3 linked regions of the Neodiprion lecontei genome follow. The protein of the gene in region 1 interacts with the protein of each later gene in a pairwise test. Links are inferred from orthologs where the notes say so. Each region holds a gene or a part of one and is shown in the gene's direction. Other genes may lie near its edges. The genes, in order: ras-related protein Rab6, golgin subfamily A member 1 and ecotropic viral integration site 5 ortholog.

The links.
Region 2: the proteins of ras-related protein Rab6 (region 1) and golgin subfamily A member 1 interact in a two-hybrid assay, tested with the Drosophila melanogaster proteins (2 studies listed by BioGRID). The link is inferred for Neodiprion lecontei from reciprocal best matches to the Drosophila melanogaster genes Rab6 and Golgin97.
Region 3: the proteins of ras-related protein Rab6 (region 1) and ecotropic viral integration site 5 ortholog interact in a two-hybrid assay, tested with the Drosophila melanogaster proteins (2 studies listed by BioGRID). The link is inferred for Neodiprion lecontei from reciprocal best matches to the Drosophila melanogaster genes Rab6 and Evi5.

What each region holds. Positions count from the first base shown.
Region 1 is NC_060263.1:23,060,032-23,063,791, reverse strand, and holds the start of ras-related protein Rab6, read left to right. Parts: upstream 1-1,292; 5' UTR 1,293-1,467; coding exon 1,468-1,537; intron 1,538-3,440; coding exon 3,441-3,499; intron 3,500-3,760. Other genes in the region: protein FAM8A1, read left to right, coding at 1-168. UniProt on the Drosophila melanogaster protein: Protein transport. Regulator of membrane traffic from the Golgi apparatus towards the endoplasmic reticulum (ER). Mediates membrane trafficking during egg chamber growth and organization, possibly upstream of exocyst component Sec5.
Region 2 is NC_060261.1:30,074,665-30,078,424, forward strand, and holds the start of golgin subfamily A member 1, read left to right. Parts: upstream 1-1,367; 5' UTR 1,368-1,828; coding exon 1,829-1,939; intron 1,940-2,112; coding exon 2,113-2,506; intron 2,507-2,852; coding exon 2,853-2,941; intron 2,942-3,028; coding exon 3,029-3,157; intron 3,158-3,760.
Region 3 is NC_060266.1:6,842,439-6,846,198, reverse strand, and holds the start of ecotropic viral integration site 5 ortholog, read left to right. Parts: upstream 1-1,081; 5' UTR 1,082-1,236; exon of another isoform or gene 1,237-1,256; intron 1,257-1,788; 5' UTR 1,789-2,181; coding exon 2,182-2,246; intron 2,247-3,760. UniProt on the Drosophila melanogaster protein: Functions as a GTPase-activating protein (GAP). During border cell migration in the ovary, acts as a GAP for Rab11 and is necessary for the maintenance of active receptor tyrosine kinases at the leading edge.

The sequences.
Region 1 (3,760 bases):
CGATCGATAGTCAAGAATTTGATCTTAGCATTTCTGTTTCCTATTTCCTTTGCCCTGTTTTTCTTCAGGTTCAACAGAACTGGTTACGATCTTGTTTGTAACTCAATTGTGATCGAATGTCCTTATAGAGATAGAGCAAATAACAGAGCTCGGCAACAGCAACAGTAATCGATCGTGACTACTCAAAGTTTGATTAATTCTATGGCAGGATATAAATAATGGAAGCTGAAATATTCTGCTGTAGAAAACTGTTTATAATACTTAAATGCTTTGTTTAATTATTTTTTTCTCTAGTACCTTGTCAATGCGTACTATCTAGCCAAGGTTCACACCTGCATATTGCATATATGTAAATATGTAATAAAATTTATAATTAAGCTATTATATAAATTACCATACACCATGTTGTGCATAAACCTACAAAATGAATGTATTCATTTCATTGTGACCAAATGAACCATCGTTACTGATTGAGTAAAAAGTGTAATAAAAGGAATTTATTTTGCTATACTACTTTAACTCATTGCGAATATCTGTATTTTGTACTATTGACATTGAATTTTAAACTACCACATAATGTAAACATCTTACTTTTATGTATGTGATAAAATTATAAAGCGGGAAATTATATTTCTATGTACATACATATATTCGTTAGTACATATACACGTTCAGTCAACTTTGTTCATTCAAATTTGTGAATTAAAATTCATGATTTTTTCAAAGTTTCAAGTTTTTCTTTCTGTTTTGAATATTGGGAATCCCGCATAGAATAAGAAAGTGTATAGGCTAAGACTGAAGCTGTAATATATTATGTTGTAAAAATGAATAAGAATTCCTGTATAATGCATTTACAGAATTGTAATTTGAACCGCTGGATCAGATAAAAACACCCTGGATACGGTAATAATGACGGTGTTCTACATTTACCAATTTGCTTATGGGGGGGCTTACAATATTAATTGATTATGATTCGGTAACAGACAAAAATTTCTGTATCAAAACTCGCCTCATCGTTAGCGTCCTCCACTAGACGTAAGTTCACCGGACTTGAAAATGACCAATCATTTAGAAATCTTTGGTCCCACCCGCGGTTGTATGCACGTATGTACATACATGGGTTGTACGTACCACGCGATAATGCGAGCGATAGGTGATTCGGTCGGCAAGGGTAGGACTGTTACATTCTCCTTTCACATTTTGACACATGGGATCTTTATACATCGTCATCTAGCGGCGAGTAACGAAATCGTCGGACTTTGGCATGATGGAGAAACGAAGCGTTAACACAGTGGCGTGACGTCACTTCCCAGTCAAACGTGGCTGCCGTGCCGAAAGGAGTGGCTGTTGAATCTGTCAAATTATATGGTTATTTGGAAATATTAATGACTTTTCCCATCGGCTACGGCGCGATATAGTGAGATTTGATTATTGCGTGTCAAGCAAAGTGAAACGAAGCCTCAAAATATGTCGTCTTCGGGTGATTTCGGTAACCCGCTGCGAAAATTCAAGCTCGTTTTTCTTGGTGAACAGAGCGGTGAGCATTTTGACACATATTTCAATGAATTTAAATTTAGTTTCCCTTAAGTTCTCTACTTTTTTCTTATCCACCACTCCGTTGGAGACTGAACTTTCGACATCTATACTACGCATGAATTTTCAATAACGTTCTAGGTTATAAATCGATATTTTCCCCTGTCCGTCTGCCGTAGCTGACGTGAGTCTCAAATCCGATTCGGTACTTGCAATAATACTTCGCATCGCTGTTATATATCGTTATTTATCGGACAAATAAATAATACAGCTTATTGTACCGATATCACTGGATCAAATTATATCGGTGATTGCTTTTTTTTCTGTTTTGCTGTAAATGAAAATTTACATTAATACTAGCAATCGATTTTTTTTGTTTCATCTTCTTTTTTGTTACGAATAAGAATTGAATGCTTAAATATGAAATGACCTTTTATCTGGAATCTCTAGCATTTATCTATTATAAATATTGGTATAGTAAACTGGCAGCAAAAATAAACTAAGATTAACTATCAAGTATAAGCTACTCTATTTGTACGAATGACTAATTGTAAGAGAAACAAAAAAAAAAGTAGCATTTTTCATATCCTATATTAATATTATTGAACTACTTAAATCTTCTAAAGTGATTGAATACTAGTGAAAAGTTACCAGAAAATTTTGCCAAAAAATTAAGAAATTATAAGAATACTGTTTTTTATATGCATGGAAAAAATTGCTTTATTAAGACATGGTTAATAATATTTGACTTTTCATAATAATGGTCATGTGTATTAGTTCACATTAAAGTACGTATTTACATATTAATACAGTTCCTGGGAGATGAAATTTACAGATTAATGAACAGTTATTCTGAACTTGCCTGAGCCACAATAAGCATAATGTGATTCTCCATGAACAGTTACTTGCTTACTCAATGGAAAAACAAAAACACAATTCTGCCATGTAGTTACCGGCTTTTTATGCCCCGCTCAATTGAAATTCACGCCATCAACATACAATGAATTAATAGTCTAATTTATCTAGTTTTTAGTGTATGATGCATGATGAATAACTATTTTTCAATAATCCATAATTTCATCAGATTAGGGAGAAAGATGTGAGTTTACTTTGAAAAATGAAGTGAATACACATTGAACTCATGTCGATCTATTGTCTCAAAAAATGAACACATTTAAGCAAGCTAAAATCAGCCTTTCTGACATCCAGAAGTGTTATTTGACTATTAAAAATAACGATTTTTTAACACAATGACCTAGGTGTCAAAATATTCTGAGTTTATTTATACAAATTCTCAGTGTCTTTAATTATTATTGAGATTAGTAATTTCTGACGCATGGACAGGGGAAATTCCCATAAATTTTTGGCAAAAATAATTCAATTTTATTCAGAAAAAATTGCAGAGTAGAAATACTATTGCCCTGTTTTAAAAATAACTCTGTTAGACAAACGTCATCAAAATATCTTCATCAATAATGAAAAACGGTGAAATATGAAATGATATACAATCAGTGAATTTTGTATAAACGGAATAATTTGTTCACATCTTTGTAATTATCGGCAATTATTGTAGTATCAGGGGATGTACCTCAGCATGTTTGATCCTTAGATCATGACTGATCTTCCTTGTGATTTGTTAAAAGTTGATTTTTTCAGAAAAATGATCACAGCATTATGAAACAGTCTTCTCAATATTTCGATGTTAACAAATACAGTTCAACTTGTTTTTGCTATTGATCTTGAATTAATTAACTGCGAGTTATTTAACACGCCAGAAATTTTTCATTCGGCCGGGCTACGCATTAGTATTAATTACAGACTACGTCAACTATTTCTTAGTATCATATATAAAATGATCAGAATTTTATTTCGTGTTATTTTTATTGAATAATTTGATCTTTTTGCAGTTGGTAAAACCTCCCTCATCACAAGGTTTATGTATGATAGCTTTGACAACACGTATCAGGTGCGTATTAAGATGTTTATAATTATAATTATAGTTGGAGCCATCTCTGTAATTTTTCTTTTCATTTGGCCACTATACAGTCCCGCTGCGAAAATTGATTACAAATTTTATTCAGTACTCGTAACTACTTTTACTTACTTGTAAAAGTATAAGACACTATTTATATCACTAGTTTAGAATACACATAAATAATAGATGGACAGGAAGCGATTAATTTGCATAGAAGCACTAAACGAGATTCAACCGATTTGTCGAGTTCAT
Region 2 (3,760 bases), on another chromosome or scaffold:
GTTACACAGCACGCACCCCTATACTTAAGAAAAAATTGTGAAAGGAGTTTCGTATATCCACTTGATCGTACAAAGAGTTGTGAAGTACGAAAATCTGGGGCGACAAAATCGAAACCTTTCCGAGCTTGCATACAGGATGTAGAGAGTTTTCGAAAAAAGAGAATTTGGTGAAAAAGAATGACTGCTTAGTTAGAATCGGTCTTCCTATATTTTTGAAACAATTCTATCGTCCCTCTTTAATAATACCATCATAGACTGTTGATATATTGTAAATAGGGAAAAATACAGCATACAGCGCCTACGAGAGTTGCAATTCGCACTACACGTGTAGCACGGGACTGCGTAAATCAGGCGCTGAACTTGTGGCACGAAACAAAAACCTTACCCCGAAATAATACAATTATTGGCTGCGTCATATTTCACTTCAGCCTAAGTGCATCGGCAGATCCGGAATTAATTGACTCGTCGCATACAACCGATAGTGTATTTTTATCCCACAGCAATAATGATAATTTATTACAAGTTTTCCGGTGTATTACACACGCTTAACATTAGAACAAAGACTGTGTCAAAATGCTGTGGTTTACCAGTTTCGATCTGACTTTTGGTTACTTATCAAAAGAATCCTGTCTTTATTTACAAGTAACGAACGGGGTGAGTTAAAAATAGCTAAGCTGCCGGCTGCAAGTAAACGAACATTGCAGTCTACTGACGAACGAACCGGTCGGCCAAGCATTGACTGACGCTTCGTACACCCGTGCTCGACTACGTAAATATACACACAAGTAGCGTAGAATAAAGGGTGTAAAACTTACGTCTCAAAATAGTTGATCGATGCCTCTGTATCGTCTGGAGATGTACGAATCATGTTTGAGAAGGTACGTCACTCCTTACGGCATTACTATTCCATTCAAAACACCGATAAAAACTTGACAGAATTCACACGCCCTTACAACCCACTCACAATGCACTCGTCTAACCGAAAATTCTACCGAAACATTTGAAAGATACGTGGTTCGGAATGCAAACATGAGGTCGCTCGCATCGCGATTTCTATTGGTTCTCTCTGTAGGGCATTTTAATAATGGCGACAAAATTCACGGTTACCAACATGCAGGAGTCAGTCGAAGTTGCTATTAAAATTTTCCTCGGGCTCGTTATTTTTAGCCTGTCAAACCTCTTGGCATTCAAATGCATGTATTTAATAATTTGTGGGTTAATTATCCTTTACGTAACTAACTTTTTTTGCAACATGAACATGGTGTAGTCGCTCGAACCTAAAATTTCAAAAGTCCCGCTATTGCATGAAGAAAATTTCACCGAAGTGGTTCACTCGATTATAAGCGCTTTGTGAATTACGTCATCACAGCGGTGTCGTCGGTGAATAATTATGACCAGAGATATGTCGCGGGTTGCAATTGTGGAAGTATTGTTTTCTTTCTTACTATTTGCTTTTTTTTAATGTGGTAGAAATCGTACAGTGGTCTCCGTCATGCAAAATATTTTCACTAAACGTCGCTCGGCAACAGTGTTAGTAATAATATAAAAATCAAAGACTACATTTTTATTCTAAATTGATATGTGTAATGGATTTTTATCAGCTGGAAGTAATTGGAACTTAATAGAAGAAATGATTAAATCGCAGCTACAATAAAAAACAGAAATAATAATAGTAGGTAGTTATCATTCGTTATCAGTAGATGCCGGCAGGCAGGTGACGTGACGTTGACAACCAGCTTGTATAAAACTACGATATATCGTAGACTTCAACTTTGATACCACCCTCTTAGCAATATCCGGAAAATCAAAGAAAATATAGTTTGTGAAGATGTTTGTGAGCTTGAAAAACAAAATACGCGAGGAAACTGGCAGCGACGTTTCCACGGTTGTCAGAAAAGCTGGAAACGTTCGTAACGTTGGCACACGGCACACGTCTCAGGTAAATGTTTCGCAATCGTACTCTCACCTTATTATCTCAAAGAAAACCAAATCAGATTTTAGAAAACAAGTGAATTTATAACATTTTTTTGCTCATATGATGACGTTGCCAACTAATTTTGTAATTTTGTAATTTTATATCTTTCTTACCCTCTGTCTGATTATTTCTTGCAGACCGGTTCAACGAGCAGTATTAGTGGCTCTATGGTATCACTGGATGGTTCGAGAGAAGAGAATACAGTTTCGCCGACGCCACCGATACAGCTGAAAAGAGAGAATAGTTTTGAATATAAACTAAGTGATGGAATGCAATTATCATCTAAGGATATAAAAAGAATTGAGAGCAGAGAAGATGAGTGGAGGAAAAGACTGGCGAGGAGAGAAAGCGAGCTTGTAAAAAAGTTGGAAAAGAAAGACGAAGAATGGAAAGTCAGGCTGCAGGAGAGAGAGAAGGAGTGGAAAAAATTATTGGATAAACAGGAGAAGGAGAAATTAAAGCTTGAGGATGAAAGAAGAAAAGCCGAGGATGCCAGACGAGTGACTGAACTTGCTTTGAAAAATGCTGAAGGTATGTGGAGAAAGATGTTACATATGTTGAAAAATGTCACTTTGATATTTATATGAGATAATCTGAACAATCCATTACATAGTTCTGTACAAATGCAACCGGCATGCAATGATTGATAGCAAAAAAATTATGTTTTCTTGTGTTTGTCATATATTAATTTGTCAATTTTTAGTACTCTCATTCTCACTGTACAGAAATATTGACTAACAAATAGTACTTCGAAAAAATCAGATGTAATATCAGTGCTAGAAGAAATTTTTTCTAAAAAATGCGATATGCAATTTGAATTGTAATCAAAATTCACATTTTGCTCAGTTATAATTTCTTGTGTAATTTTCTTTGGCAGAGTACAAAAAAAAACTGTACAGCTTTCAAGAAGATGCTGAACAGTTGGAAGGTTTTCAAACACAAGAAATGGCAAAGATCAAACATCTTGTAAGTTTATATTAATTATCGTGTTAAATGGAACTGTGTTCGGAGTATCAAAGAATTATCTCAAAAACATATTCATCTGATTAACAGCTACTGGCTAAAGAGCAGGAGGTAGACGAAAAAGTGCATCATCTGAAGCATGCAACCGCTGAGGTAGAGAGTCTCAAAACTGAGGTATCGAGGCTCAGGCGTTACGAAGACGAGTTGAATAACGTACAGGTGAGTACAAAGAAATGTTGAACTACTTCTTTTTCAAACTTTTCAAAGCGTGTAAACACGATGATGTGAAATATCGATGGAACGAATGTAATTAAAGTTGACTACACTAAATTGATATTGTTCACGATGTTACTATGACTCGAAAAGAATTATCAGGGTCTTATTAACAGTGTAAATTCTGTGTCTTTTGTACAGCTGAATAAGTTGTAAGAACCTAATTTTAATATCCGTATGCCAATTCGATTTAACAAGTGTTGCCTAATGTCTTGCGACAGAAGGAGATTATCGTCTAACACATATCACAGACGATTCACAATGCTAATTGTTCTCTGATTTACACTGTTGAATATTTTATCAGGTAAAAATCTTACCATCTTGTGCTTGCGGTCTTGATATATATTTTAACAGCACAACGAGTCGCAAGGTTTTAAATAATAATAATCCGACAAATATGTATGTTTTACAGTTCTTTCGCACCTTAAACCTCAATTATTAAAACCTGATTCCTCAAATAGCTGGAATTTTCCACATTATTACTATCGATAGTAATAGTTATAATTTTTAGTCAGCCAGTTCATAGGCATTCTTCTATACTGTAATGAT
Region 3 (3,760 bases), on another chromosome or scaffold:
GTAAATTTAGGACTTCATTCGTTATAAAAACAACGTTCCGAAAAGTTGTTCCCATAGAAAATTCCCCAGGAACGTAAATTTAGGACTTCCTTCGTTATAAAAATAACGTTCCGAAAAGTTGCTCCCATAGAAAATTCCCTAGAAACGTAAATACAGGACTTCATACGTTATAAAAATAACGTTCCGAAAAGTTGTCCCATAGAAAATTCCTTAGAAACGTAAATACAGGACTTCATCCGTTATACAAATAACGTTCCAAAAATCTGCTTCCATAGAAAATTCCCTAGAAACATAAATTGAGGACTTCATCCGTTATAAAGATAACGTTCCGAAAAGTTGCTTCCATAGAAAAATCCCTAGAAACGTAAATTTAGGACTTCATCCGTTATAAAAATATTGTTCCGACAAGTTGCTGCCGTAAAAAATTCCCTAGAAACGTAAATTTGGGACTCCATCCGTTATAAAAATAACGTTCCGAAAATTTGCTTCCATAGAAAATTTCCTAGAAAAGTAAATTTAGGACTTCACCCGTTATAAAAATAACGTTCTGACAAGTTGCTCCCGTGAAAAATTCCCTATAAACGTAAATTTAGGACTTCATCCGTTATAAAAATAACGTTCCGAAAAGTTGTTCCCATAGAAAATTCCCTAGAAACGTAAATTCAGGACTTCATCCGCTGTAAAAATAACATTCCGACAAGTTGCTCCCGTAAAAAATTCCCTAGAAACGTAAATTTAGGACTTCATCCGTTATAAAAATAACGTTCCGAAAATTTGCTTCCATAGAAAATTCCCTAGAAAAGTAAATTTAGGACTTCACCCGTTATAAAAATAACGTTCTGACAAGTTGCTCCCGTAAAAAGTTCCCTATAAACGTAAATTTAGGACTTCATCCGTTATAAAAATAACGTTCCGAAAAGTTACTCCCGCCGTTGCCGACCTGGACGACGACGACGCGACGGCGGAGGTCGCCGCGCAGAAGGTTCCGTCAACCCTGCGCCGGCTTCATCGACCTCCAAACGAAACCATCGTCGAGCTGCAAACGGCGCTCCTCGTCCGTCTGCGAGACTCGCGAGAGCCTGGATACCTAACGCGGTACCGAAGCACAGTGTTGTGTCCGACCTCGTCGACGTCATTGTCACGTCTCGACCTCTCCGTCTGCCGCACACCTCGGAAAAAAACACACACACACACTGTGAATTCAGAGTCATACGTACACTTCGACATTCAGATCATGTAATTCCACACCTTGTCAGGTGCAATCGAAATCAGTATTATACCTATATATTCTTTTCTTTGCCTGAGTTGACGTCGGTTTGTTTAATTTTATTTCTCTTACTTCTTCATAAATTTGGCGGGAATTTAACTCCAGTCAATTATACGCTTCACTAAATCATTGAATATATTCATTGAATTATTATACACGATTGTATTCTTCTTCTGCAATTTTTTATTTCAAATTTTCCAAGCATTTTTTCACGCGTCTCTTAATATATATACATATTTTTTTCTTCTATTTTCAACGATATTTCATCGATTACAAGAATTTTACTTGTCGGAGATAAATTATACATTATTTATTTTTATTCTTTTTGTATTTTAGAATTTACGTTTTTTTCTGTTTTTCTTTCGTTTTGCGGACTTGAAGACTTGCTCAGCGACCCGTTGCTAGCCAGGCTACAGGATCTTTCAAAAGTTGAAAATTTTTGTGCCGAAACAATACATAAAAAGGAAGAATATCGTTCAAGTTCGGGATCAGAAATCACTTTATCATGTTATTTCTCACAGGTCGCAGGCAGTGTTGACGTTTCTCTTGTCATCGTGCATTATTCTGGCACTGGAGTGATTATACAATACATACATATCTACATAGATATATACATACCGTGGTCTGCGTGATTGCAAATGAGCGAAAAGATGAACGTTACCGAGGCGGAAATACCGTAAGACACGGAAATATCATCCGCATCGGTTGAAAGGAAATTCAGAATCCGCGGGGAATGATACAAGGAAAAAGAAACTTAATCGGGAAATTTCTCCTTATTTGTGTTTACGTGTAATGTGATAATAATATACTTACGACACGGTTATAAATTATATATATATATATATATATATATATATATAATACATTAAAGATATAAAGATCCGAAGTTTAAATAAACTGAACGCATTGGCTGAATGGTTCTACTCGGTCTTTTGGCCCCGGCGGCGGCGAGGTGGACGCGAGGAAAAGCAACCAAGAGGTAATCACGTATTATATACAGTGATTGAAATCCTCCTTCCTTGTAATAATGCTTTCGTGATATCCTTCCATCATCAGCCAGCGAATGTCGTTATTTCGCGAGACGGGTAAAAATCAATTGGACTGATTTCCTCGACTATATACGTATAGATTTACATTTTTCTCCTTCGCTGTGTCGTAACTTCTTCTGATAATAATCACCTCACCTTTTTTTTTTTTATTTTGCCTAGGCAGGGTGGCCACACACCTAAAAAACCTGGAAATGTCAGAGGATTTTTAATTTAGTGATTGAATAAACTTAAAATATCAGTTTTCTATCACGGAAATTGGAAATGATCTTTTGAGGTAACAAGTTGACTTTTATTTCGTCGAGGAAAACAAGTTGGCTTAAACTGACTTTTTTGTACGTTATATGTTTCTTCTATTCGAATTGAATTTTGAACCGAATATAGGGTTGATAAACCGAACGATTTTGGTTTTAGTGACTTACTAGAACTGGAAAAATGTCAGAAAAAACTAGGTTTTAGGTCGTGGGAAATCTGGAAATTTCATACAATTTTTTCACAACAATTTGTGGCCACCCTGTTAGAAATATAATTTAAGAAATTAGTGTTGAAGGAAATCAATACGTGCGAGCATATTGAAAAATTTTATAATTATTGAAAATTTTTTTTTAGAAAAATATATATAATTTGAGAAGGAACGGAACGTTTTTGGTTCCATTTTACTATCAAAATTTGTTTTTGTTTTATTCAAGAGGAAATTGAATTCTGAAGGTATTAATTAAGGTTAAAACATTTACTAGCCTAAATTTACATTTACAATGCCCGAAAGTATTTTGTAAAACATTTTGTACTGCTGGATATGTACAGTCTGTGGTCTAATTTGTTATAAATTTTTTTTCTTTCTAGATTTCAAAACGCTTTTGAAAGAAATTATTGAAAGTTTTGAAAGAAGCTTTTGTTTTGTTTGCTTCACAAGCAAAATTATTTGTCTCTTAAATTTGCCTCTAATATGAATGCTCTTCGATTTTACGGTGAAAAATTTCTCCGCAATTTTCGTTACAAGACGTAGCCTTGAACCATTGCAAGTGAACCGTTACGGTAACATTGCGTAAAATCGTAGTTTTGTAATTAGAATGAAAAAAAGGAAATACCTCGCCACGGACGGTGCTTCTGCAATTCATGATTCTCTCTCTGTTTCCCAAGTATTGTTCCAATTATGTCAGCCAAAGCCAAACGCGATCGTCTTTCCAAATGTAGCTGAAACTATAATTTCTCGACCAATTATAACATGGGTTTCAAAAACCATGCAGAGATCACGGATACTGAAACTTCTGTACATTTTACGACGTAGTTTATGAATATTGTTTTGAAACAATCGAAGAACAGTCGGAATATAGAAGTTGAAAGTTAATTTGAAGAACACGTGACCGACATTGTCGAAATCTCTGATAATTTTGGGAAAGATGGTAACATTGCCCTTTCCTTTATCGACCACTAGATTCGTCGATAA